4 linked regions of the Arabidopsis thaliana genome follow. The protein of the gene in region 1 binds, or shares a complex with, the protein of each later gene. Each region holds a gene or a part of one and is shown on either strand. Other genes may lie near its edges. The genes, in order: EMB2795, SMC2, SMC3 and AT3G57060.

What was found.
Region 2: EMB2795 (region 1) and SMC2 share a complex: the UniProt entries of both Arabidopsis thaliana proteins name them as parts of the condensin complex.
Region 3: EMB2795 (region 1) and SMC3 share a complex: the UniProt entries of both Arabidopsis thaliana proteins name them as parts of the condensin complex.
Region 4: EMB2795 (region 1) and AT3G57060 share a complex: the UniProt entries of both Arabidopsis thaliana proteins name them as parts of the condensin complex.

Annotation. Positions count from the first base shown.
Region 1 is NC_003071.7:13,828,773-13,834,858, reverse strand, and holds EMB2795 (condensin complex subunit), read left to right. Parts: upstream 1-1,516; 5' UTR 1,517-1,649; coding exon 1,650-1,916; intron 1,917-2,120; coding exon 2,121-2,222; intron 2,223-2,359; coding exon 2,360-2,477; intron 2,478-2,815; coding exon 2,816-2,880; intron 2,881-2,952; coding exon 2,953-3,013; intron 3,014-3,102; coding exon 3,103-3,303; intron 3,304-3,393; coding exon 3,394-3,689; intron 3,690-3,771; coding exon 3,772-3,916; intron 3,917-4,012; coding exon 4,013-4,269; intron 4,270-4,386; coding exon 4,387-4,417; intron 4,418-4,622; coding exon 4,623-4,777; intron 4,778-4,893; coding exon 4,894-5,004; intron 5,005-5,232; coding exon 5,233-5,439; 3' UTR 5,440-5,569; downstream 5,570-6,086. Other genes in the region: AT2G32600 (hydroxyproline-rich glycoprotein family protein), read left to right, coding at 125-201, 306-371, 462-536, 672-746, 862-1,080; AT2G32580 (transmembrane protein, putative (DUF1068)), read right to left, coding at 5,724-6,070. UniProt on the Arabidopsis thaliana protein: Regulatory subunit of the condensin complex, a complex required for conversion of interphase chromatin into mitotic-like condense chromosomes.
Region 2 is NC_003076.8:25,054,190-25,062,052, reverse strand, and holds the start of SMC2 (structural maintenance of chromosomes 2), read right to left. Parts: upstream 6,029-7,863; 5' UTR 5,746-6,028; coding exon 5,428-5,745; intron 5,329-5,427; coding exon 4,648-5,328; intron 4,556-4,647; coding exon 4,412-4,555; intron 4,324-4,411; coding exon 4,033-4,323; intron 3,958-4,032; coding exon 3,772-3,957; intron 3,691-3,771; coding exon 3,526-3,690; intron 3,442-3,525; coding exon 3,382-3,441; intron 3,261-3,381; coding exon 3,198-3,260; intron 2,875-3,197; coding exon 2,783-2,874; intron 2,693-2,782; coding exon 2,596-2,692; intron 2,392-2,595; coding exon 2,275-2,391; intron 2,160-2,274; coding exon 1,941-2,159; intron 1,788-1,940; coding exon 1,647-1,787; intron 1,568-1,646; coding exon 1,400-1,567; intron 1,013-1,399; coding exon 828-1,012; intron 699-827; coding exon 605-698; intron 517-604; coding exon 428-516; intron 306-427; coding exon 80-305; intron 1-79. Other genes in the region: AT5G62400 (uncharacterized protein), read left to right, coding at 6,447-6,923, 7,272-7,439. UniProt on the Arabidopsis thaliana protein: Central component of the condensin complex, a complex required for conversion of interphase chromatin into mitotic-like condense chromosomes.
Region 3 is NC_003076.8:19,699,851-19,704,755, reverse strand, and holds the start of SMC3 (structural maintenance of chromosome 3), read right to left. Parts: upstream 3,029-4,905; 5' UTR 2,849-3,028; coding exon 2,705-2,848; intron 2,450-2,704; coding exon 2,360-2,449; intron 2,284-2,359; coding exon 2,182-2,283; intron 2,098-2,181; coding exon 1,921-2,097; intron 1,847-1,920; coding exon 1,716-1,846; intron 1,617-1,715; coding exon 1,538-1,616; intron 1,465-1,537; coding exon 1,307-1,464; intron 1,223-1,306; coding exon 1,147-1,222; intron 1,023-1,146; coding exon 894-1,022; intron 825-893; coding exon 680-824; intron 486-679; coding exon 355-485; intron 101-354; coding exon 1-100. Other genes in the region: AT5G48595 (Defensin-like (DEFL) family protein), read right to left, coding at 3,734-3,981, 4,068-4,116. UniProt on the Arabidopsis thaliana protein: Central component of the condensin complex, a complex required for conversion of interphase chromatin into mitotic-like condense chromosomes.
Region 4 is NC_003074.8:21,115,106-21,123,104, forward strand, and holds the start of AT3G57060 (binding protein), read right to left. Parts: upstream 6,009-7,999; 5' UTR 5,947-6,008; coding exon 5,811-5,946; intron 5,503-5,810; coding exon 5,180-5,502; intron 5,094-5,179; coding exon 4,933-5,093; intron 4,844-4,932; coding exon 3,664-4,843; intron 3,551-3,663; coding exon 3,359-3,550; intron 3,167-3,358; coding exon 2,513-3,166; intron 2,415-2,512; coding exon 2,238-2,414; intron 2,114-2,237; coding exon 2,046-2,113; intron 1,956-2,045; coding exon 1,733-1,955; intron 1,649-1,732; coding exon 1,549-1,648; intron 1,457-1,548; coding exon 1,341-1,456; intron 1,257-1,340; coding exon 1,199-1,256; intron 1,112-1,198; coding exon 960-1,111; intron 879-959; coding exon 674-878; intron 561-673; coding exon 156-560; intron 71-155; coding exon 1-70. Other genes in the region: AT3G57062 (uncharacterized protein), read left to right, coding at 6,338-6,484. UniProt on the Arabidopsis thaliana protein: Essential protein. Regulatory subunit of the condensin complex, a complex required for conversion of interphase chromatin into mitotic-like condense chromosomes.

The sequences.
Region 1 (6,086 bases):
GGGAAAGTGATTGTCTAGAAGTAATAGCAAAATTGTATATCTTTGCTATTGAGTACATAGATTTTACTTAATTGATTGCTTTAAAGGGTTTATTAATAACTCCATTTTATGTATGGTCTTGCAGTTAAAATTGGTAGACCAGGGTACCGGGTTACAAAACAGTATGATCCCGAGCTGCAACAAAGATCTCTTCTGTTCCAGGTAAGCATCTAATTGTTATTGTTGAACTTCAATGATCATCATTAGAGACTTAGCCAGAGTAAAATCTCACTGTGTCTGTTTACTCCTCAAACAATGTTTTACAGATTGAATATCCTGAGATAGAGGACAACATAAAGCCAAGACATCGTTTCATGTCATCTTATGAGCAGGTGAGTGTTACAACTCCTTGTCTATGTATCTCATAAACTCTTTCTTTTCCTTCATACTGAATAGTTTTCTTCCTTTTTTTTTGTGTGCAGAAAGTTCAACCTTATGACAAGAGCTATCAATACCTTCTATTTGCAGCCGAACCATATGAAATCATAGCTTTCAAGGTATGTGTTTTTTTTTTCTTTTATTCGTGACATTTACATTCTACAAGTCATCTGGGATTATAGCTCTAGTAGCCCAACATATCTTGGTCGAATTGTTTACTGATATTGATGGTTGTGTTTTCGCATTGGTTTCAGGTTCCTAGCACAGAGGTTGATAAATCAACCCCAAAGTTTTTCTCTCACTGGGATCCAGACTCCAAGATGTTTACAGTAAGTGCTTCTCATCATAATTCTCATAAAGCCATAAGCTTAGTTTCTTTTCCGAGATTGGATAAGTTTTGTGTTTGGATTAATCAAAATACTGACAAAGAATGTAATAAAACAGCTGCAGGTGTATTTCAAGCCTACCAAGCCAGAACCAAACAAGCCTCAGTCAGCTGTTGGAGCAAATGGTCTTCCACCGCCACCACCACCCCCGCCTCATCAAGCTCAACCGCCACCACCACCTCCATCTGGTTTATTCCCACCGCCACCACCTCCAATGGCTAACAATGGTTTTAGGCCCATGCCACCAGCTGGAGGTTTCGGACATCCTAACATGTGAAAGAGAATCCAGCGAAGCAGTTTAAAAACACAGTACTCTGATCATGGTTTACTAAGAGAGACTTGCTCTTTGACTGAAAAACAAATCTGTTTTGACATGGATTCTCAAAGCTGTGATCTCTACGGATGTATTAGCTCTCTAGATACCTTCTTTGAGTTTCTTCTATCTGCTTCTCGTATGTACCATTTTGACAAGATTGTTTTCCGTTAATAGTACAATTAGCGTTGGCGAAACAAAATTCATTTGTTATATATCGGTTAACTCTTAACCAAGTCTTAACCCAATCTATCAGTCCTATGACCGGCCATGGATATTTCATATTTAAATTATTTCTAACGATGATCAAAGTGGAGTATACCACGTCACTCACCTTTCGACGGGGGTAATCATGTATTTACACATTCTCATCAGTGTCTCTGAAATTCAAAAGGGTAAAGAAGAGGGAAAATCAAAATATTAAAATCCCTAATTCCCAAATTATTTTGAATTTTCTCGGATCCACAAAGCTCCGGTGAACCCAACAAACGCATTTTCTCTCATTGAGTTTATACAAGCGGAGAAGTTCTGTCATGGATGAATCCTTAACTCCAAACCCTAAGCAAAAGCCAGCTTCAACGACGACTCGAATCCAGGCTCCGACGAGTCCCTTCTTCTTGGGATCTAACGATGACAGATTGGAACGGGAACAAGCTCGAGCCGCAAGAGCCGCTGCTAGCCGTCGTAGGTCTGTCATTTTCGCTCGTGGGTCTCAGCCTGAGACGGAGTCTGATCCTTGTTTCGACAAACAGCAAATTCTCGAGTTGTTTCAGAACTGTATCAAATTAGCCAGTGAAAACGTAAGCAACTACTTTCTTCTGTCTTTTTTTCCCCCATAATTATAGCAAGTGAAAAAGGAAAATTCGTGGCTAAAAGTCCTTGTCTTTGACCTTGGTCTTGGGTAAATATGCTTCTGATGAGATTTACAAGTAGCTTTTTAATCACTATAATCTTTGTTTAGCTTTGCAATTTAATTTATGTTATGTGGGTTTTGTGTTAAACAGAAAATCAATCAAAAGAATACATGGGAGTTGAATTTGATCGACCATCTTTGTGAGATTATCAAAGTTGAAGATGAGAACAATACAGAAACAAATTTTCAAAAGGTAAGCTTTCGATTTCATTCTTCTTTGGCTTTTTTAAAATGCTGTTAAGACGTTTGAGAATACACAAAAACATAAAACTGAAAGGAAAAACAAGAGTTCAGAATCATATTTAAGACATATGTGTTCGTCCAAGTCAGGCAAGTTGCACTCTTGAAGCTGGAGTTAAGATTTACTCAATGCGGGTAGACTCTGTTCATTCAGAGGCATACAAGGTCTTGGGTGGAATTACCCGAGCTGGCCATGATGACGGTGGAGGTTAGATTAATAACCTTACACACAAGAAACTATCTTATCTTTAGTACTTGGTTATAACTGTCAGGGTAAACTTCAACAGACAACATGTAGCTTTATCTATTTGTGGAGATATTTATTCACTCATTTTTGTTAATATGGTTTGCCAAACTAGTCTTGAAACTCATTAGGTAAACAGATGAATACTTTTCTTATTGTTTTGACTTCTACACGAGAATTTAAAATCTCTGAAGAGGGCTATGCAATGCATTGAATTTCTTTCTTTAGCTCTAATTTCTAACGTAGGTACTAAAGTAAAAAAAGTTCTTATATTCTTTTCTGATATTTCTTTCATGAACTAGATCACGAGGATGCTGCTGGTGCCGTAGAAAATGCAACTAACCAAAAGAAGCAGCCAGAGAAAAAGGTAGTTCATACACAAAATCTAATTCTGGATTTAATAGATGAGACTATTTACTGATGTGTTTCGAACTTTCAGATATCGCCTTTATCAACACTGGAACCTTCCTTTGATGCCCTTAACGTGAAGAAATTTGATGGTATTTGCTTAACTTAACGTAACTCCCTTTGTTCGTTTGTGAAAGTAAGTTATGTACGACAATAATTTATCTTTCTTTTTTCTTTCCAGTGGCATTTGCAGTGGATCCCCTTTATCATCAGACTTCAGCACAGTTTGATGAAGGTGGAGCAAAGGGCCTGCTGCTAAACAATTTAGGAGTCTATGGAGGGTGTCAAGTTCTATTTGATTCACAAGAAATCCCTGGAAAGCTTGTTTCGTCTGCAAATAAGCATGACAAATCAGAAACAATTGATCTATCCTTTGTTAAAGGTCTGGCTTTACTGGCTGATATGCCTCGCTCTACCATTGTACATGTTTTATTGCATTATGCTTTCTCTGATGTTGTGGTTAAATTTGTAGAATGTGTGGAGCAAATGGTGCTAAACATGCGAAAGAAGGATGAGATTGTACCATCTCTTCGGGCTATAATCAATCAATTTGATGAAGAGAACCAAAGACCATCTGACACGTTTTCTTGTGGTCAGCAGACGACCGAGTCATTTGATATTTCACATGGTAATGATGCTAGCTATGCCGACGATGATGAAGGATATGAGAACTTTGGAACTTCTTTTGATTATGAGGGTCAATCCGGTGATGTTGATGAAAACTTTGGCCCCAATGAAGCAGAACCAATATATTCAAATTTTCATGAGGTTATTACCATCGCTCTTCTAATAATCTTTTTTCTTAATGAATTTTATTTGGTACTGAAAACCTAATGTTTTCACTTTGCAGGAAGTTGAACCAGCCTCCCTGCAAGACATGGATTCAGATGACAGACTGGAGAATGTTGATGACTATCTCTTTTTGTCGTTGGGAATTTCATCTAAGCAAAATTCTTGGGCAGGTCCTGATCACTGGAAGTATCGAAAAACAAAAGGTATGCGCTTATATCTCTGATTTCAAGAAATAACATAAGTCCTCTTAGTTTTCGATTTTCTTCTGAGGGTTTACATTCTCTGAACTCTTTTTGCAGGTCCAGATGTTCAACCTGCTTCAGAAATTAAATCCTCTCCACCAGCGAAGAAAACCAGGAAAAAGAAGCAAGCAGAGCCTGAACTAGATTTTGCAAAAGCTTTGGAGGAAGAAATGCCTGATATTTTTGCCCCTCCAAAAAACCCAAAGACTTTACTTCTCCCAGCAAGTAGAACCCCTTGTCAAACGAAGCTTCCAGAGGATTGCCATTATCAACCTGAGAATCTAATAAAGCTATTTCTACTACCGAATGTGATGGTATGGCTTGCCAAACACAGACCAAGTCACTAGTTTGCTATTATTTCTGTGTTTTTTTATCTTTTCTTTTCCATTTTGTGTCATCTTTTCTGAATTTACTCTCCTGAATGATAACAGTGCCTTGGGAGGAGGAGAAGAAAAAACTCAGGTAACACTTCCAGTCATTAAGAAAATCATCACTTGTTGGTATCCGTGGCGGTTTATGAGGCGTATAACAGTGTCTTTGTTTTCTTTACTGATATTAAATTTCCGTAACAAAGGAAATGGTTTCAACAATTTACCACTAAATCTGTATTGGGTTTCTGAAAAAAAAATATTTATGTTACACTTGTTTTGTTATGTGCATATTCCAGGTGAAACTTCAAGACAGCAGCCTGATGATTATGAACATGGGGAATCCTGGGGAAATGATAATGTTTATGATGATGATGATGGCCCATTCGATGATAATGAAAATGATCAAAGTGATGCAGAGGATACCAACACATTAATCTCTCAGCCACGCCAGGTATGATAGATTGATCTGCATATGGTTACAGCATTACAAATCATTTTAAAAGGCTGTAGCTATCTATCTTAGGAATGAAACATTGTTGTAATTATCCTACACAACTCATGCTTTAGGTCAACAAAATTGATGTCCAATACGATAAAGCTTCAAAACAAGTTGATGTGCAAGTGCTAAAGGAAACTCTTTGGGAGTGTCTTCAGGAATCTCATCAACCTCCAATTCAGGTTAACCAATATACTCTGATTATCTCTCTTATGATTTACATGACTCATTCGTGTACTTCACATCAGCCAAGTTTTGTCAACATACAATCTAGAATTCCACACACATACATTCCTGTTTAGTGCAGTGCACCTTTTTCTTATGGTTCCATGCCGAAACTAACCCAAGGATGGCTTTTCCTTCTTTTCTGCCCATTACTGTGATGATATTAACAGAATCTGATTGTGCAGGATGAGGAACATCAACAAGAACCACCTGAAAGTAGATCTTTCAAAGTGCTATTGGCTAGCTTCCCAGATGATTGCCAAGCAGCCGAGAGAACCCAAGACATCTCACCACATCTATGTTTCATCTGCTTGCTGCATTTGGCGAACGAGCACAATCTCAGCCTCATTGGTTCTCAAAACTTGGATGATCTAACAATACACCTTGCCTGAAAGAAAAGTGAAGATAGACCAAAAGGAGAAGCCGAGTGTTTAGAGAGTGCCTTTGTGCTCATCACTATGCCTAATAAGTATGTTGTAGTTCAATGTAATGACTTGATTGTGTTGTAACTTTGTTCAAAATCCACTAATCCTTTGTTGTTTTGGTTACATGTTTTCATTCCATCTGATTGATTTATCTCCATCAGAAAACTTAAATACAATAGTATGAATCAAATTCACAGATACACTGAAACTTTTCTTTCGTGTGATAAGAAATCAAAACCTTTGGTGTGTCCTTAAGCAACCTCAGTGCCGCTTTTGGATTTAACAGTTGACTTGGTGGCTCCATCTTTGTATCCTTTCTGACGAGCTCTCTGTTCCCACATAGAAGTCAGCTTCTTCTGCTCCACAAGTGCTTTCTCCGCCTTCTCTCTTGCTTCTTCACAAGTCTCCATACCCGAGTTACACTTATCTGCCTCCTTTTGGTAAGATGATGTTATCTTCTTGGCCTCTAGCAGACCCGTGTCTACTCGTTTGTGTTTCTCCATCGATGCTGCTTCACGCTGCTTCAGTTCCTCTGTTAAAAGTTCAGCGTAGTTCTTCTCTGTGTCTTCGTTCACCTCTGGATCACGCTTTGCACAATCTGCGCATCAAAAGAC
Region 2 (7,863 bases), on another chromosome or scaffold:
CAACCCTATAGATCTTCTATGATAATTTGAAATATCAATTGGAAACTGAGAAATCTGAAATTGAAAAGCAGAGATGTACCTCATCTAATATATAAAGAGGAGCCGGTTTGAAGAGAAGCAATGCCAATATTAGTGATAGCGCAAGAAGAGATCTTTGCCCTCCACTGAGTTCTGATAAAGACTGCTTCCAGACTTTTCCAAAGGCAACACGCACCTCAAGACCATCAAGGAAGTTACCGTCTTCAGGAGGTTCTAGTTTTGCCATGGTGCCAGGTAGTAGAGTTGAAAAGATTGATCCGAAATCCCTAATAAAAAAGAAGGATTTAACAAAGGCTAATATCATATTATCTTTTCAGACATTGAGGAATGAGATCATGAGCCTAAGAGCAAAGACAAACTCTTTGTTGGAGATTAGAAAGACACTCACTGGTTAACTTTAACCCAAGTAACTTTCAGGGTTTCTTTTTTCTTCTCATCAAGCTCCTCGATCACTTTCGTGATTTTTGATTTGTCATTCTAGGAAAAAAACCGAAAAAATTGTGTTATGATGGCACACGAAGCTATTGAAATACATTGCAAAGGCCCTCTGTCCTCTGTAACTAACCTCGATAGTATTTTTTTTCGATATCAGAGCATTGTATTCATCTTCTGCTTTCTCAAACATAGCCATAACCTTCTTGTTCACTCTTTTTTCCAAGCTTCATGAGGGAAATAAATAACCAGGAAAAGAAGAAGAATGCATGTCATATTGATATTTCACTTCAATGATGTGACGACAATATAATATAGGTTTCATAAAGATAAAACGTTAATTCTCATACACATACCCTGATTGATCTGATTGGAGCTTTTCAAGTTTTTCTCTGGCCACATACGGATCACAAGATTCAAAATCATAATCTGTCCCTCCTTTCCCAAAAAGTTGCTTTTCAGATGCTATCCATGTATGCTTCTCAACAAGTTTGTCTACTTTCACGGAACAGTCCTTGTGATCCGTTTCCATCCTTACGACCTATAAATAAATTGGAAGAGACAGTTGTCACGAAAAGTATATTCCTTGACATGCAGAAATTTCAGAAACTACTGAACTTTTCCAATTTTATATCAAAATCACGTTACAAGAAAGTCTTAATTTTCTATGCAATTACTAATTCACTCACCATCCCCAACAGCTGTATGTTACCCATTGAGACGTTTGAACTTTAACGCAATTACTGAACTTTCAAAATTTTAAAGAAATCCAAGGCAGAAACTCTTAATAGGCAAGATTAGTGAATACGAAAGATTTTTATACGAAGTGCAAGAACAGCATAAATCAGATTGGTAGTGAGGAAGAAACAAGCATGGCTTGTAGCTTTGCAAAACCTAGAAACAGGAATAGAACAGAAACAGAAAGTACCTCATTTTCCAATTTCTTTCTCTCAAGCTTCATGTCACTAAGCTTCTGCAGACACTTTTCCTGGTCAGTGACAAAACCACTTATCTGTGTATCACATTCCTTCATCTTTGCATGTATCAACTTGAGCTCGGCAAGAGACTCATCATGAATCTTCTGTAAGGCATCAACCTGCAGGGGAATCATATATTAACATGATATATTTCTTTATTTTCAACAAACTTCACCAAGAGTAGCAAAACTACAGCACCTTGGCTCGCTGCTCGTCTACTTCCGAAGTCAGAGTGCTGATTTGGGTTTCCAATGAAGTTAAGTGGCTCTCCAAGGACGATTGTTCTTGCTTCATTGCTTCTTCCTCCATCACAAGCTTCTCTTTTTCATTTTCATGACTCTATGCGCATGACGAACCAGAGACAACGTTACAGCAAATTCAAAAGAAGGCAATGCTTCCATGATAAAACTGGATAACCCAGGATAAGGAAAAGAAAAATGGATTCAAGAAGTTCAATGGCATGGAAGTAACTGACCAAAAAATATAAAATACCTTTAAATCTTTGGAAGCTGCCTGCATTTGAGCTTTGATGGTTTTAATATTTTTTTCCAAGTCCTTAAGTCTTCCTTCTCTGTTTTTGTCATGGTCTTTGATGGAATTCTCTAGTTTGGAAACAGCATCAAAACAATTTTTATAAGCAAGTTCCTTCTCTTTGATTTGGGATTTCGCTTCTTCAAGCTCTTCTTCAAGTTTTTTTACAGCTTCGCCAAGCTGTGTATACAACAGGTGATGGAAAGTATAAATGTATGTGATTCAAGTACCACAAAAAAACCAACGACGCAGATAATTTAGCTTGAAAGATATAGATAGAAGATGGAGATATAACCTTGTGATGCTCATTTTGTTCAGCCCTCTTCAAAAATAAGGACAAGTCATACGTCTTCAGCTCCAACTGTGCATAAACATCTGTGAATTTCATTTGAAGAGGCTGAAGCTCTTTGATCTGTCATGTCAAGATAAATCAGCAGTTTACGTTTAAAATACTGAAAGTACTTTATAACTGTGTGACATGAGGAGTCTAGAGAGAGCAATCAGAGACCATTACTAAGCTACTGCCTTATCATTTTCTTAGTAATTTCAAAATATGGCTAGCACCTGTTCAATTCCAAGTTGTATTTAGACTTATCACGGAAGAATAGGGGTTTACCTGTGATTCAACGTCAGCCAACCTTTTTTGGTGTCCTTGTAATTCTGATTCAGCTTCTGCCAGGTCATGAAGTTTCCTAAGGCGATCACCTCCACCCCTAAGGCAAAGGAAAAAAAAAAGACCAAAATACTTTTATAAGGAGATGACTCTCACTAGAGATATAAGCGTCCAAGAAAGAAAGACATACTTGCGACTCCCACCAGTAAGAAGACCACTTGGCTGGAAAATGTCACCTTCAAGTGTGACACTTGGAGTCCGAATATCCCGATTAAAAGCAACCTGCAGAAGAAGCAATGAGGGGCACATCAAAGACTGAACTCTAGAGGCAAAAGCAATAAATCAAAACTATCAAATAGTAGCTAAGACAGTGGGAATAAACTCAAGGTATATGTTGCACTTATAAGTTATAACCCCAACAAAAGTGATAAACTTTAGAATAGATTATCCGTCAAGAGTTACTAAAAACAAGCTTAGGCAATTAAAAAAATGTACACACCACATATTCCACGTAAAGATTTATATATAAGCTGACATCATCTCACAAGAAAGAAAAACTGAAGGCCCTGCCCACATATAATACTAAATGCTTAGGAAATACTTACTTCCTTTGCTACATCAGTAGTTTTGCAAACAAAAGTGGAGCCAAAAACATATTCCATGGCATTCTGCAAAATACCATGATTCACACAAATATGAGCTTGAACTTGAAATTTATTATGTATTCTTGAAAACTTGAAAAATAGAGGATTATATATCAGATTCATGTTACTCTGTGCAGGCGTGTACCTTTAATTCATCACTATAACCGACTAAGGAAAGTGCCAGTTCTGCATTATCCTTTCCAACCTGAAAATATATAATAAAAAATTAGCAATGAAAATGAAAACAAAGAGATTAAATCTAAATGGACCAAACAAAAGATCCACATACCAATCTAGCAGTCGCTTGCTGCACTCTAGGCTGAACAACGTAAGATTGGATTTTGTTCAGAGGTATAATTGTAACTCTTCTCCTAAGAGCACCGTTTTGAAGGAGCTGTTTTCCAGTATCTTCTGAGTCTACAACAACATCATACAACTTGCCACCAGCAGTAACCTGGAAACAAGAAGCAAAGTGACTTCAGGCAATTGAAATCCCAACAGTGTTTATTGTGAAATGATAAGATATCCAGTCTACCTCCAACGCTGTCATTGAGGACCTATCTTTTACTTTTATTAGTTTTGCGACCACACCTTTCACCTTAGATCGGTCAAAGTTCCTCACAGGATCGCTGTATGTAAACTGAAAATTTGCTAATTGAGCTGATAAGCCACGCACTTTATCTTCCAGCCTCTGCACAACTTCAAGTTCGGCTCCACGGTCCTAAATATATATTTCAGTCAGAGAAGTATACTTTCTGTAGAAAAAGACAAAATCAACTAAAGTGACCATGCTAACCTTCTCCAAAGCTTCCATTTGACCCTCGTTATAAGGAATAGATTCAAGTGCCTTTTTTACATGTTCCACATCATTTTTCCTAGCTCCAAGTTCATTCTCCACTTCAATGGCTTCTTCAAGTTTTGACATTAACTGAGACTTTCTCTCCTTTAGCTCCTTTTCACAGTGTTCTATTTTGGTTTTTAGCTGTTTCAACTCTGTTCCAGCTGTTCCAACAGCAATCTTTGCATCCCGTAGTTGATCTTCTAAGCATTTCTCTTCATCTCCACTACTCTTACCAGCTAGTACGCCCTAATAATCAAAGGACATAAAGCCAATTAACATAAAACGAATGGATATTATTTGGCATGGAATAGAGATACTTTTTTAGTGGTACTACCTGGTGTTCCTTTTCACACTCTTCCAATGTGGTGGAGAGTTCCTGGAATCTTTGTTTTAGGTCTGCCGCTCCTTCCTCAGACTTCTTCACAGCAGCGGCTCTCTCCTTTACGGATTTCTTTAAATCTTCTATACTGTGAACAATCTGTCAACACCAAGTAGGAAGTTATTTACGCCAGAAATAGCTGAGAATCTATAACATTCTGGCAACAGAAATAATTTTCTTCAGTCTCTAACCTTTTCAACATTCTCTTTTTCTCCCAGAAGGGTGTCCTCCTTGTTATTAAGTTTAGATGACTCACGTGTCATTTCTTGAGCCAGTGAATCCACTTTTTCTGACAGAGTTTTTACTTCTCCCCCCATACTGGCTTCCTTTGCCTGAGTCAGAGCTTTTATCTGTTTCTCAAATTCCTGTATTTCTTCCTGTGTCTTTTCTGTTTCCGCGTCAATCTTCCCGAGCTTCGCCTTCATTTCTCCAACTCCAAGAACAGCATTGTCTCTAATCTTCTCCGCTTGAACATATTCAAAGGCAATACAGAATCTCCTTAGTCGATCTAGCTCCGCGTTACCATTAGCCCACTGCATGTACTGTGATTTTTCTTTCCTCAACTTCTCGAGAGCCGGCAATATTTCATGATCAAGAAGCTTATTAATCTCATCAACCTTGGTCTGCTTTTTTTCAAGCGTTTTCAATGCAGCCTCTTTCTTGTTTTCATACATCCTTGTTCCAGCAGCTTCTTCAAGCATGGACAATATCTCCGGAGGCTTCATATTCAAAACTTTGGTGATACGCCCTTGCATGATGAGAAAGTGTGGATTGTTGACATTAAGCTGCACCGAGTGAAATAGATTCTGAACTTGACTTGGTTGTGCTAGCTTCCCATTTATCAAATACTTGTTCCTTCCACCAACTACAATCTTTTTAACACCAAAAGATACACAATTCCAAGTTAAAGTCTCAAATTTTGTCAAGCACATGAATTGATGAGTACAACAAAAGAGAAACAAAGAACATACTTGTCTAGTCACAGTAATCTCTGGATGTTCTTCGTAGCCGAGAGGGCTTCTGTGTCTCTCGGAATTGTCAAAGGTAACCGAGACAGTCGCCTTAGTAATCCCAGCTTGGCCTTGCTTATAGACGAGTTCCTGAAGATTAGCAGCTCGAACTTGCTGAAGATTGGTGATACCCAGAACGAAACAGATGGAATCGAGGATGTTGGATTTTCCCGAACCATTCAGACCCGTTATCGCGTTGAAATGTGGATCGAAACCAGAAACCACCGTCCTCGTCGCGTATGATTTAAAACCCTCCAAGCATATCTCCTTTATATGCATCTTCCTTCTTCTTCTTCCCCCAAATTTCCACTCACACTCGCAGCATATGCGACAAAACCCTAGAAAAAAGCGAGAAGAGCTCAATCGAAACCCCAGAAATTCGAATTCAAAATTGGAATCTAAGGTCGAAGGCACATGAAATTGAAACGTTGCAAGAGAAGAAGAAGGCGAATCTGAAGTCAATTTTGGTTTTTTAGTTGAAGATAATTAGGAGTCGATTTGGGATTTTGAAAACAAGGGCATTTCGATTTGGGAACACAAGGAGCGGGAAAGTGAACTTTGGGAACAGTTCTGAAACCTTCCACACCATTCAGAAGGTTTGATGGTATCAAATACATTCTGTACAATTTTATACATGTATACTTCATATGTTAACAACGATATCCCACTCTGCTTCACACCCACAAATTAATGGTTCATTCCTTGTTTGAATATGACTAATGAATGGTGCTATGTTTGTTAATGCACATATATCATGTTCGACATGCATGGCGCAGATCCACACAACGGATATCGATATCGTCGAGGGAGCAAAACTATAGGATCTAATTTCTATAGGCCACGTAACCTTGGCCTTGGACAGTTATATTTATGATACGTGTAGCTTCACATTAACCGTCGCCATCCGATCGACTACGAGAAGTTATTTTTAAGAGTTTAAAACCTTTCGAAAATGGGAGAAATAATTGTTTAAGAAAAGGATGAAGACGACGAAGGCGAAAGCAAACACAATCTTGGGGAAGAAACTCGAAGAACTTGAGTATTACCTACAAGAATTCGGTTCTGGCAATGGTGATCTTAACGCATACCGGGAATTCGGAACCCGGTTTGTTTTCACGCAAACCCTTTTATGTGCGGAGATATCGTCGGTTAAGGACGATGAAGACGAAGAAGAGATGTTGAAACTTCGTTTCATGGCTAAGAGGTTAACCGAACTTGAAGAGGCTTTCAAGGAAAAGACCGGTCCAATCAACCAACTGGACTTGCAGAGTTTGGAAAGTGGTGGTGGTGTAGATGAGACCACTTTGGTTCGCTCGTTGGTTGAATCGTTACATGCAGAATATCAAGATGCGAATTCATTAGAAGAGAAGTTGGCGATGAGAAGAACCGAGAAGATGAAGAAGAAGCGGTTTAGGGGTTTGGTTAGTTTTGGTATAGTTGGTTTTGTTACGAGTATGGTAAGTTTCTATGGTTATCTTTGTAATCAAATGAACGAGGAAACCATTTTTCTCACTCCTACTTAACTTTGGTGACAAATTTTCGTTGTTTTCATTGAACCTACTTTGTTTTGATTATGATGGGATCATGTGAATGTTAAATTACAATGATTATGATGTAATTTTCAATAGGTTTTGGCTTTCTATTAATGTTTTACAATGATTCTGATGTAATTTTCAATAGATCTTTGCTTTCTATTTATGTTTTTTTTGTTTGTTTCGATTCTCTTGGCATTTTTTGTCTTCGTGATAAAACACATTCAAAATAACGTAAGATTTGTTTGGTGTGGCTCACGTGGGAGTAACCAGGCCCCACGTGCCATCTTTTACCCGGTTGTAATCCCACCGAAAGATTCTCTTGTCGACGTAATACCTCACACGCTTCAAGGTCAAATTCGTCATTTCCCCACTAAACACACGGTTATCTTCAATATCCGCCTCATCTGTTCATCGAACCGGGCTGGTTATCATAGATAAAACCAATTTATACGTCGAATAAAGAAATTTTCAAACCAACTTATCTCGCCAGTAATGAAAATACTATTCACTAGTAATATTTAATTGCTAATACAATAAGCTTTAGTAAACTTTTATTAGTTTATATTTGAAATGGCATGGAAATGGCCAAACCGGATAATCCCCATCGTAAATGTCAAACTTACCCTCAAGGCCCACCGTTTTTGACCATTCTTGCTCTTTTGTTCAATCTCAACATCGTTAAACTCAAGAATTTGTCGTCTTCTCCATCTTCTGTCTTAAATCTGATATCAAATTTTTGGATCAAATTCTAAATAAAGCTCATTTATTCGTAAAGCCATTATCACTACCAATCCAAAAGAGCTTTTATTAATACACCTTACTCGTGACCGGATTCGCAGAGTTCACGAGCTTCCGAGTCAAA
Region 3 (4,905 bases), on another chromosome or scaffold:
CTTTCCAAGAGGTAGTTGCTGCAGCTTTTTCTTTTTTTCTCGTTGATATATCAGAGAGCTGTTTCTGAGCATCTGTGAAGGCTTTCAGAGCAGCTTCATGCTAGAATAACAAAGAGGTAATGTTCAAACAGAAACAAAAAAATTAGTCGTCCAACAGTATTTTGGATTATTCAGCGCGAAAGCAGCTCCAGGAAGCATATAAAGATTTGACTATGGCAAACGAATTCTTTAAAGAAGCAGTGGGATAAGCTAATTAAAAACCTCTCTAGAAATTCTTTTGAAGACGAGCCAAGTTATTTTGACAAGCAAAAGTTCTTGACTCCAAGCAAATCGTTATAACTATATGAGATGTACCTTCTTGCTCAAGAGTTCACTTTCGGATGATGCAACATCAAGCTTTCCCCTGTGCACAATTAGATCTTTTTCCCAAGGTTCTAATTCAGCACGAATTTTTGTAAGCTCAGACCGGTAACCTTCAGTTTCAACTGTAACAAAATTGACAGAAATTATTAACTGAACAAGCTTACTCTTGAGCAAGAAGCTAATCGTTATAGATGGGTACTAGCATGTTTAAGAAGTTGCCAATTCCAAGTACTTTTCACTGTGATGTTGTTAAAGAAGCTGCCAGGGTAACAAGGACATCATTATTTGGGGACTAATATCCTAAAGCATAACACACCTTTAGCTATCGCTTTGATTTCCTCCAATTTCTTCTCCTCATCTAGCAAGACCTTCTGAAGCTTTGGTATGTTTTCCTGAAGTTTCGGTATTAGATTGCTTGAGTCCTCAGACTCCTTTGTCATATCACCGATTTTGGATGAATCCTGCATAAGAACACAGGTAAGGTATATGCACGCCATAAAAAAGTCAACCATCCTTCCAAAACTATTAACCTTCTCAAGTTTATCCTCGAGTTTCTTGATTTTTTGCTTCACATGCTTCAAGTCCTCCCTATGCTTTACGTCCTGCCTTTCAAACTCTTTGAATTTCTCCTTACAGGCTCTAAGTTCATTATCAAGAACCTAATCATTGCAAAGGAAGATAAGGTGATTCACCATTTGTTGAAAGTTAGGAGAGAGAAAAATGAATTTAGCCTCGTCGGCAATAAGCATGAGAGCAGACACATCTTATTGATTTCAGACATACCTCTTGTCTCTTCTTATGTTTTTCATGCACAGACTCAAATTTTTTTAACTCTTCATTACTCTCATCCATTTTCACTCTGTAACAGAAATGTTACGATATTTGTTACAAATGAGTTTATATAATTTCTTTGATATTTTAAAGAAAAATTAGTAGTGCTTACCGCTCATCTTTTAGACTATTTTCCAAATTCTGCAAGCTGTCTCTCTGTTCAGTAATTTTCGCTACAGTATCTTCATATGCCATTTTTGTAGCCTTTTCTTGCCATTTAAGATGTGATAACTCTTTCAGCATGTAAGTCTCTGCCTCATCCTTCAAACCCTGTTCCAAAAGCACATCAGCAACATATACAACAAAACCGGGTCACATACAAGAAGGAAAAACGTCAACAAACCTCTAAGTTGTCTCTTTCTTTCTCCGCTAATTTCACCATTTGCACAACTCCAGACCGGCTTTCATTGAGGGTTTCAAGCCTTAAATTTCAGAGGCAGTTGCAGTTATATTAATAGCATCCAACAAATCAGGAACCACTTACGTCTAAAAGAAACAGTACAAATGCATAGATTACTCACTGCTTATTTAATTCATCTATCTTCTCCACATATTTATTCGTTCCAATTATATCCTCGAGGTATTCAAGAAAACCTTCATCATGGGGACCTTGTGCTTTCGGCTTCATGAGTGATATTTGTTCTACCTCCCCCTGTCAACGTTCAAGAAACAATATTAGAGGGGGAAACAAGTTAATTCAACAAGCTGTTTCTGTAAAGTGAGAACCTGAAGAATCAAGAAACGGTTGTTGTCAAGATCTACTCCTTTCCCCTTGAGTTTTTTGGTAACTTCAGTGAAATTGCTCGACCTCTCATTGATATAATACTTGGAAGAATTATCTCGGAATGCAACCCGAGTAATCATGAAATCGCTTCCAGGAACAGTTTCGTACAATCCATTTTCCTGAGTTAGTTAAAAATAAACAATTCACATTACTAGAAAGCTTAACCAAAGTCTAATAATAGGTAAGCAGACAACAAGTTTTACCAAATCGATAATCTCTTCAAACTGTACAGAAACTCCAGCACTATCCAAGTTCTGGTGATTAGTTGAGTTGTGAATTAGCTCTGAAACTTTGTTCAGCCGCATCTAACACCAAATAAACATAAGAGTTACTCAAACAAAGTTCAGTGACTAAAAGAAAACACAAGAGTAAATCAAGTACCTGCTTGGCTCGTTTCCCAAATACAAAGAGCATTGCATCTATCACATTGCTCTTTCCACTCCCATTAGGTCCAACCACCGCAGAAAAACTCTGAATTTTCAACAATTCAGTAAATCTAATTTTCCGAATCAATAGATTCAAATGAAAATCTTGTAATTCGCAAGAGCAATTCAAACTAGCCAAAAACAGAAATCCGAAAAATATGCTCAAATTCATCTTCAAATTGAAAAAAAAACTGAAATTCGCAAGGGCAATTCAAAAGCGAGAAATTCGAAAACTATACTGTAATTGACATAGAAGCTCAAATTCGAGAAAACCCAAATCTAATCAGCGTAAAATCCTAACCTTGTGGAAAGGACCGACGCGTTGTTCACCAGCATATGATTTGAAGTTTCTCATGACAAGCTCTTTTATGTAAAGTCTCGGAGTTCCAGATTTCCTCTGCTCAGGCTCAGACTCGCCGCCGCCCATTGGCTCATCTTCCTCCATAAATAACTACTCTCCGGTCAACAAAATCTGATTTCAACAACTTTGGAGGAGGAGGTGCGAATTTTGAAATTGAAAGAGAAATGAAAATCGAGGGAGATTCAAACAAGATTGAAAGAGAATGGGAAGAGGCACGGAGAGAGAAAGGGAAAGTTAATTTTAGGTCACAAATGAAAATTTATGGGGGGAATAAATTGCCGCTAATTCTTTCAAATACCATCAACTTTGTGACGTTATTAGTTACCGACGTAGGAAAAAACCAAAAAAATATTTCATTTTTAATTGGACGTTTAATTGTTACTTTGTTTTTTATTGATAAAAAATACCTCATTTAATTAAACTTTTTATTATAATATTTTGTCTTTAAATTTTTGATAGATTCAATCCTCTAATTTAACGGTTGTTATGCAATTAGTAAACATCGTAAAATTTAGACTAAATAAATATATATATATATATATATATAATTGTTTATAATCAAAACAAACAAGATAGTTTCTAGGTATTTTTTCGGATTGTTTATATTCAAAAAAAGAAATATATGACTTATGATTTTATATTCTATTTCTAAAATTAAATTCTCTTCTAAAAAAGCAAACCATGAGATGATGAGTAAATTTTATGTGATAACCTTCACAAACATTTTATAAATAACACATGTAACACTTAATACATATAGAAGATACAAACAAAAATTACAATTTTGATTTTTTTTTCTTTGTTATAAAGATTCAGTGTATATAGTCGTTTAAATATATGTAAAAATGTATAACTCAATGTATTTTCAATTCTATATTATTAATTTTTATTAAAAATTGAAAGGAGGCTGTAAAGGTAGAAAATCAGTCACAATGATTATTTCTTATATTATTCTAAAAATATAATGTCTTACAAAATGTCTTCCAATGTACAACGACAAATAGAATTTTCACAATGAGCTATATTCTTCTTTTTCTCAATACAATGAAATGCACATTGTTGGCAAAAAATAATTTTCATGTCTTCGGGAGAGTGTCCAATATGTTCGTCTGCTGGATCAATATTAGGGCTTAATGCAGGGCCGGAAAACTGAGATTTTCCTTCTGAAATAGATTTTATCATAATATTTGATGCACGTAAAAATAGTTTTTTGAAAACTTATTAAATTAAAATTTAAACTATAATATATATATATATATATATATATATATATATTTTTAATTGAACAAGAATGAGAACTTACATGATGAAACCAAAACTGCAAGAGTTAAAAAGACAAAAATTGTCTTCATTTTCTTTAAAAATTTTAATATTTTAACAAAAAAATATGGAACGTATTTGCTGATCGTTTTGGTTGTGATGTTTTAAAGTTAAGATAGTAGCATCTTTATATGCGCTTTTACTTATGTTTTTTTTTTGTAGGGTACGGTTTTACTTATGTTACATAGTAGTTAATGTTTTATCAAACATATTTTCTTATAAATGATAGTAAAAAAAACTATAAACTTTAATTTACAATTTTTAATTTAAAATACTTCATCTGTTTCACAAAAAATATCGTTTTAAGATTTTTTTGTTTTGTTTAACAAAGATTGTTGTTTTGTGTTTTCGATGCCGTTTTTAAAATCAAATATCTGTTTTATTTCTGTTTTTTCAATTATTAATTAAAAATAAAAAGTGTATTACAATAGGTAAAAGAAATTTTTAGATGTTTTTTTAATTTGTGTTAAAAATTGTAAAATGATACTTTTTGTGAAACATAAGGAGTAGTAACTAAAAACATAATTACTATATTCAGTATACAGTATACTGCATTTACATATAAATTTTGTCTTTTTATTTTCAATTAACTAACATGCGTCCACAAGTGAAAATTGATGAGAGATGAGAAACTGGTCAAATATGAGAGACACCTAGAATAAATGTGGTTTTTAACTATTTTCTTTTCCTCTGAAGTTGCAATATATTGATGGATATATAAAATGACAAAACCAATCTCTCTATTAAATCATCCATTATACACTATACATATGATTACTCAAACTATAGACAAAAATAATTTCATATAGCCATTGACCCTG
Region 4 (7,999 bases), on another chromosome or scaffold:
CTCCTGATGCTGCTCGATGACTCTGTACTCTTGCTTTCTGATTCGCCTTCTTCCCCTGAAAACCTCACAACTTTACTTAACGGTATATAACAATTTCTAAAATGTAGCTTAAGTTGTGTGAGATTTTTGAAATACATATTGAAGTTTTCACATACCGCCACTAGTCTTTTGGTTTAAGGAACGAGGATTGGTCGTACCACATTGTGCAGAATCTGGCTCTTCCTCCGAGTCAGATGGCTCTTCCTCTGAGTCAGATTGCTCTTCCTCGGACTCAGTTTCAATCAAATTATCGCCACTAGTCTTTCGGTTTAAGGAACGAGGATTGGTCGTACCACATTGTGCAGAATCTGGCTCCGAGTCAGATTGCTCTTCCTCGGGCTCAGTTTCAATCAAATTATCGCCACTAGTCTTTTGGTTTAAATAACGAGGAATGGCCGTACCACATTGTGCAGAATCTGGCTCTTCCTCCGAGTCAGATGGCTCTTCCTCTGACTCAGTTTCAACTAAATTATCGCCTGATTCTTCCATTGATGGATCCACAATTTCACTATCTGAAACACCTGAGAATACAAAAAACAGTCCATTTTGAAAAGCTTGCCGTTAACTGGCATTTGACTATCGTAAGTCTGGTACAGTGAACTTTGCTTTAGCCAAGAGTCAAAAAATTACTAACCTTCACCTTCATCATATTCTTCTACAGGTTCTTCTTTCACTTTGCTGAGGACAGCAAGGGATTCCATGGTCTTGGTTTTCTCTCTATGAACCTCGGCATTTCTTGCGGTTTCTTCTTGTTCTTTCTTCTCCATGTGGAACTTGTTGATCTTCTCTTCAAACTCTTCGATACACGCTTTCAGTTCTGGCTTCGCAAACTTCTTTCCCTGTTCAGATTCACAACCAGATGTCAAACTAACATATAGCATTAAAAATGACTAGGGTGACGAAAACCAGAGAAACCAGACCTTATTGATTATGCTTCTAAAGTTCTCGGTCACCAAATCCTCTGCTAAAGCGTGCTCGTAAGACTTGAATGACTCAATAAGCTTTTTGATTCCCTTTTCTGTGAATGTCAGCAGCGAAAGAGAATACGAAATGTATTCCCACTGTTTTCCATCTGCAAGTTTAGGTGTAGATGTCAAAGGGATATACTTCTTATTAAACCCAAAACAGGTGTAAGGATATATCATCAATACAAGCATACCTGTGACTCCGCTAAACCTATTGCAAAGCTTCTCAACTAGAGCCTCCATCTGTTTGTCCTGGAGATTGATGAGGATGCAGATGAGTGATTAGATAAGAATAAATACAGGTCATACTAACTTCAATATTGAAAAGCTGTATACCTTTTTGATGGAGCCGATCAAGAATTGCATGACATTACAGAATGACTCCCTCTCTAAATTCCGGTTGGATAACTGCCCAAGTATATCAGGAAGTAGATTGTATATGGGATTCGATCCTGGATTTGTTTGGCAGAAAATAAACTTAAGTGTTAAATTTGATTCAAAGGTGGAAGTTGCTATGTCATGTAAAGCAGCTATTGCAACTGACCTTTCTTAGACAGTTCATGGAAAAATAGTTTTGCGAGACTAGAGATCCTCTCCACATCATCTTCTATACATATAGCCATTTCATATATATAACCTTTCACCTGAAATCAGGATTCACAAAATGAAACCTCCAACTATAATTGCAGATATTTAAAGAGAGCAAGGAGAGAGGTAAGGAGTCCAACCTTCATCATATCATTCAATATAAGATGTGAGAGGACCAGGACAGCATTTTTCCTGACAGAAACTGAAGCATCCCGTAACCTGGCATACATATTTTCTGTCCAAGGTTCTAAAAGATTTGGAAAACGAACAGCCAAGTCTCCAAGGGAAAGGGTGCAATTCGATCGTACAACTTCAGACGGTGCATTTTCAACAACTGTGAAGAGAAGCTGAAGATTGGATTCGCTGGCATACATTGAGTTTAATGCATCAATTTAACTATAAATTCAGTTTTGTAAAGGATAAATAGACTATATGATAATGATTTAATCTCACCAGAAACTTGCATCAATAATCATAAACCTGCATAATGCAAGCATTGCGGAAGCTTGTAGTTCAGGATGCTGTACGAATGAAAAGACAAGTTTCATTTTATCATGTATATCCAAAATAAATGTGAGAGCAAAAGAAGGCTTTTAACTTCATCACACGCCATGAAACAGAATGAATGAATAGAAAACTAACTACCTTTTGCAGCAGAGAAAAATTTCTGCAAAGCTTAGAGAGAAAAGTTGCACACTCCCCAATCAGATTCTTCTCAACAGAACCCCCAGAAACAATTTCCCTCTCTGCTCTTTCAGCGAGTGTATCAAGCAGTGCATCATCAGAGGCAGCAAGTCCTAGCTCAGCATTTATGCCATTGTTCTACAAAACAAAGAAAACTTTGCATTATTCAGCAAAAATAACCCTTTAGGGTTGTAAAATTTGTGCCACCAGCTGCGCTCTACGAAATTGGTCTGTACCTCTTGGGTGGCCTCAAGGTTTTCTTCTGTGTTCTGACTTTCAGCAGCCGGTTTGTCCTTTTTAGTCTTCTGTCTCCGGATCTTCTGGATACAGGATTCTATATACACCAACTGGTTCATGGCAATGTGACTGACAGCGAACAAAAATCTACTGAGTTTAGCCACTTGAACTGGAGTCAAAATATCAACTTTATTATTTTCGGTATCAGTCTGTGCTTCCTCTTGTTCAACTACGTCAAACACAGTGCTCAGGGACTTTTTAATAATAGTAGAAGCCAATGTTTCTGGAGTTGGGTGGATCATGTATATGGCACTTATGGCTTTATCAGCAGTTGCATAATATATATTTTCTGGAAGCCAGTTCCCAGTGATCAAGCTTTCAAGAATACCAAACAATCGGCTGCCACTGCTGAGCAATAACTTTTTCCTATCTTCCTCGGAGAACCGCTGAATAACAGTACATGCAGTTCTGGCAAGTAGAGGTTCCACTTTTGCCCAACGGCCAAACCCAATATCAATAATATCCTGTATGTGTGATCCAAGAATCCTAGGGGACGACTTTGCAGCCATGCAAAGGATAGATAGAGCCCCACGACTTTGCTCAGCAGTTGTCCCATTGATGTTAAAGCAAAAGAAGTCCCATAGAGCTGATGTCTACAAACAGAAAAATGATAGAAGCACTTATTAGCCTCTAGCAGGTGAAAATCCTTTTCGCTCGAGAAATTTAATCAATAATCAAACGCTCATTATTTTTAGTTGTTCTTGACTGTGCATAAGCAGACTACACGTATCAAGTGACCATAATTCATAGCATACTCATACGCTGGAGTCACAGAAGGAACCTACCGTGCTGCTAGATATTTCACCTTTTGACACTAAAGCATTAACAATAAACTCTAGTGCTGCCTGATCTCCTATATTCGAATCTATGGCAAGGTTCAACAGCTGTTTCGCCGTGTCAACTGGATTTTTCCTTATGTAGATTGAGATGAAGGCATTCTCTACTGCCTCATAGATAGACTTATCCTGAGAAAAGGCCTGCAAAGACAACAATAAACAAGGTTTTTAGCACAATGTATTAAGAGGATGCTAACTGAAAAATGTCAGAAGAATGTATTCTTATGAGTTTGATACATGATAAGCGACCATACCAGAGGCAGAATTTTACGGAGACAAGCTTCTGCACCGTCAATTTGGAACTGCTTACACCTCATCAGCAAAAGAATAGCATTCTCAACATCAGTGGCAGAAGATGAAGCCATTAATTGAACGAGGATTGGCATACTGGCTGACATGCACTTCGAGAACCTCAATCCAGCCTCTAGGGAAGCAATCAAAGCCTTGGTTTGCTCAACGTTACCAATATCTGGAACAGAAACATCCTTCTCACTGATTTCTTCTCCATTCTCTGGCTGACAGCTATCAGATAGACTATCTTGATGAATCTTAGTTGTAGTTTCAAGATGCAAGTCATCGATTTCACCATCTCCATTACAGGATTCACCATCTGAAGTTGACTCTTTTGATGCATGCTCAGTAGGTTCAAGTTCGTTCAGTTTTCTTTTATACTGCTCCAGGGTTGCTTCAAATGAAGCTATCCGCAGCTGTGGACCAAAGGGGTTATGTTGCAACATCATGATCAGTAAATTCAATGCGGATTTTCTAACAATTGCACTCTTATCTTCCAGTCTTCCAGCAGATAGTGATGCAACTTCATTCCATAGGCCAATTGAAACAGAATGCTCTTCACAGAGTTCAGCCCACACTTGAAGAACACGGCTCCTTGTATAGGCTGAAACATCTCTACAGCGTTCGAGCAAAATTTCCAACATAGCTTGCTTAGTTCGCAGACGAAGGGACTTGGAACTCATATCTCCCTCGACATCATTAAATGCTTTTGCAACTAATTTCCCAAGAACACCAACTAGTGCGTTTCTTATCTTGTATGATTCACCACCAAAATGAGGGACCAGAACTCCAACATTTGTCGACATTAATTTTGGCAAACGATCAGCAAGCTCGACCAGGAAACGTCCCACATTATCAGCCCCAGCAGTATCTTTAACGTAGGCCTTTGGGTCAGTCCTCCCAATATCTCTAATGATTGTCACTGCCAACGTACCATCTGAATACTTGCTTTCAGCTCTAGCAACTGCATCAGCAATGTGTACAACAGCAAAATCATACTTGTGTATCAAGTGCATGATTGAGGCACATGACTGCACAATGTAGTGGTATTTTGTAGCAGATGCTCCGATGATTCGGCACAGTGCATCTTTTGTCTCGGCATCTTTTAAGATTGTGGCATTTTCAAAAAGAGTGAACGAGTTTCTACAAGGAAATGATATGAAAATGTTGTGAGAATGTATCTATAGCATGGACTATGAAAGAAACAAGATTCATTAGGTCACGGAAATTACTTGACAATGAAAGACAGGTAGTTTTCGTCTAGGTCTGATGATCCAAAGAGCAAGGATAGGTTGATTTCAAGAGAATTTGCGATCAAATTGAGCATCCTACCCCTCTGAGGTTCCCAGTTCCATGACTGGATGATTTGCTTTTTCCTCCCTCGTGCTGCAACCTGTTCATCCACAACATCACTACCGTAAATTCGACAACAAGAGATGAATTTTATTCTGTATTATCAGCTGGAAAAAGAGAGAACACCTTTGTAGTCTCGACTGAGCTGATGTGTGATTCCTCATTCATAACAACAGTGAGGAGAAAGAAAGTGTATATCTTCAAGGCATTGCGATGTGATGTGATCCTATCAATGATTGGAACATCATCCTCCTGATCTTGGACAGACCGGGATATCGAATCGACATTGGGAAGAAGAACGCTTAGATTGGACCGAAGGCTTTCTACAAGATTACACTTGCAAGATGGAGGAAGACTAAAGAAGCTCCTGACCAAAGAGTAGACACGATCAAATACATCTTGATCCTCGACACAAAAGAGTTCTCTATCAGAAAGGTCAAAGGATACACCTGTTCCACGAGACGAAAGTAAACAAAATGCCTCACATATCAATCACAAGAGTCATAGAAGAAATTTGACTCCAGAAACGCACTAAATGAAATTTCTCTCGACTTAAATTTAATCAATTTCATATTGTTCAGCTTCGCTTGTAGACACGAATTCCCACTAAACCTACCTGACGACTCAGGTGACTAAGGACACTATCAACATACATAATGCAATTTTCCTCCCAAATTGGGATTGCAAAGCAAATCTAAACCCTCTCGCAATTGCATCTCAGATACGCTCATACAGTGGAGAGACAAAGACAATTTACCTTTGACGAATTCTTCCAGATCGGAAGGGCGAAGAGAGGTTACATCGACGGGATTCTGAGCGAACAAACGGTGATTATCCTCCGGATCTTCTTCTAGGGCTCGTAGAATTTGAGGGAATACAAAGGGAGGAGCCATTTTTTCTAGAGAGAGAGAGAGACGTTGCTCAGAGGAGAGAGAGAGAAAGAAGAATCTACCTTTTGGGGAATTTCAATTTCAAAATGAAATCGAAAAAGGCAACGGAGCGGGAATCCATGGATCATCCTATCGGGTCGGGTTCCGGATACAAAACCGGGTCGGATCCTAATTATTTTATCTTCATGTGGGCCCTCGAATTTAATTATGAGTCTCCGTCGGCTGGTGAATAAATACGACGAAGACGTGGCCGAATCTAAATGGTTGGAAGATCCTTGAACCTACCGAATCATCTTTGATTTTTTTTTCCCCAAGCTTTTGGCCACTCTAATGGCTTCGCCGGCCAATCATTTGATCTGACGAAAGAGAGAGAAAGAAGCAGAAAAGCTTTGAGATGGCGATGCCGCTGGGCATGGCGATGTATCTGATGAGAATGGTTTGGTTTTCTCTGAGTGGTTGGGTTTTCACTTGCGTGGCTATCGCTGATGAGATCGCTGGTTCTCTGAGAAACGGAGATATTGGTCCTTTCCACGTCGGATGATTGAATTCGAGATCCTTAGCTCTCCTTCTGTGCGTATATGTTCTTCTCTTCCCCAAATTTTACGTTTTTTTTTGTTTTGCTCTGTTGTTTTAGATTAGAGTCGCTTCAAATTTCCCTACAAACTCTGAAATTGATAATAGTTTGAGTTTATAGAGGATAAAGATAGATCATTTTGGTCGAAAAGGGAACAATTTTTGGTGGAAGTGATTGATATATGTCTCAGTCACTCAGTGTGTGTATGTGTAACTAAAGTTCGGCTTCGTATATGAAACTATACATATCTTATGGATTCGCATGGATGTTGTTATGTTAATGATGCTTGTTAATGGCCCATGAACAAAAATCGAGATTTCTCAACTCCAATTTGGTTGTATTTGTTCTGATCAGCAACTCTGGGATGCATATAATGCTCGTTTCCTTTTGCTCAGCTGCTTGAGTTTATCTCTCATAGTAGCTGGTTTTTGTGTCGATACAAGTATCCTCAGGATCATTCACATGCTCAGATAATTTATCTCCTCTCTACATAAGTACATCAGCATTGATGATATGATCCATATGCTTAAGTGATTGTCTGGAAAACAGTTCATAGGTGATAATACCTTCTTAGCTTCAGTACCAAAACATTCCTGGAAGCATGTTTTATAATCCTGAAGATTACCTTTTGTTTTAGTTTTTCTCCTTAGCTTACTAGTCATTGTTTTGCATTCAGGCCTTTCTGAATTCAGGAAGGGCTTTTACAGCAGTAAATGCGCAGAGTACACAAGTAAGGTTCTATCATATCTTCTGTTGGTACGCTGGCAAGGTTCTTAACTATGAAACATTTTGACAGACAGAGAGAGGTAGAGAGAGAGCAGAGCAGCAGTATATGTGTATAGTATATAGTTTGTAGAATTCCAGAACATATGTGACCTCATACTTGTGAAAAAATGTTGCTGAAACAATTGAGTTTCTATCAATTTCAAGAAATCTTTTTTAGCCTCTTCTGCTTGGAAGATCACACAAGAGAAAATGATTTTTCCCTTTGAATTTACTTTGTATATATTTAGCTCATTGGCGTCAAAGAAATCTATTACATTCAAATATTCAATGAAGAACCAAACATTTTTATCTGTCAAGATCCACCTCTAAAACTATTGAGCTTTCCTCTTATATTAGCTTTTTGTCTTATGCATATCTTCCTTATATCATATTTAGTCTTTGTAGTGTTAGGTTCTGAATTTCGAATCTTTCCTCTTCCCTTATTGAAAAGAGTAAAAGACAAAGAACAAAGTACCAAAAATAATAAAGAATCTTCAAGGAGTTTTTGCCTTGTGCAATTCAACTTCTTCCCATGTTGTTTATGTGTAGTCCAATTAGTGTTATTTTTAATTAAGATGTGGTCCAATTAGCTGTTCTTTTTCTAAACCGTATAACATAATAATACGTGATTCAAATACATTAACATAATGCAAAAATGTAACAGCAAATTCATTAAAAACAAAAAATGTAACAGCAAAGCACCATACTTTCTCTCGT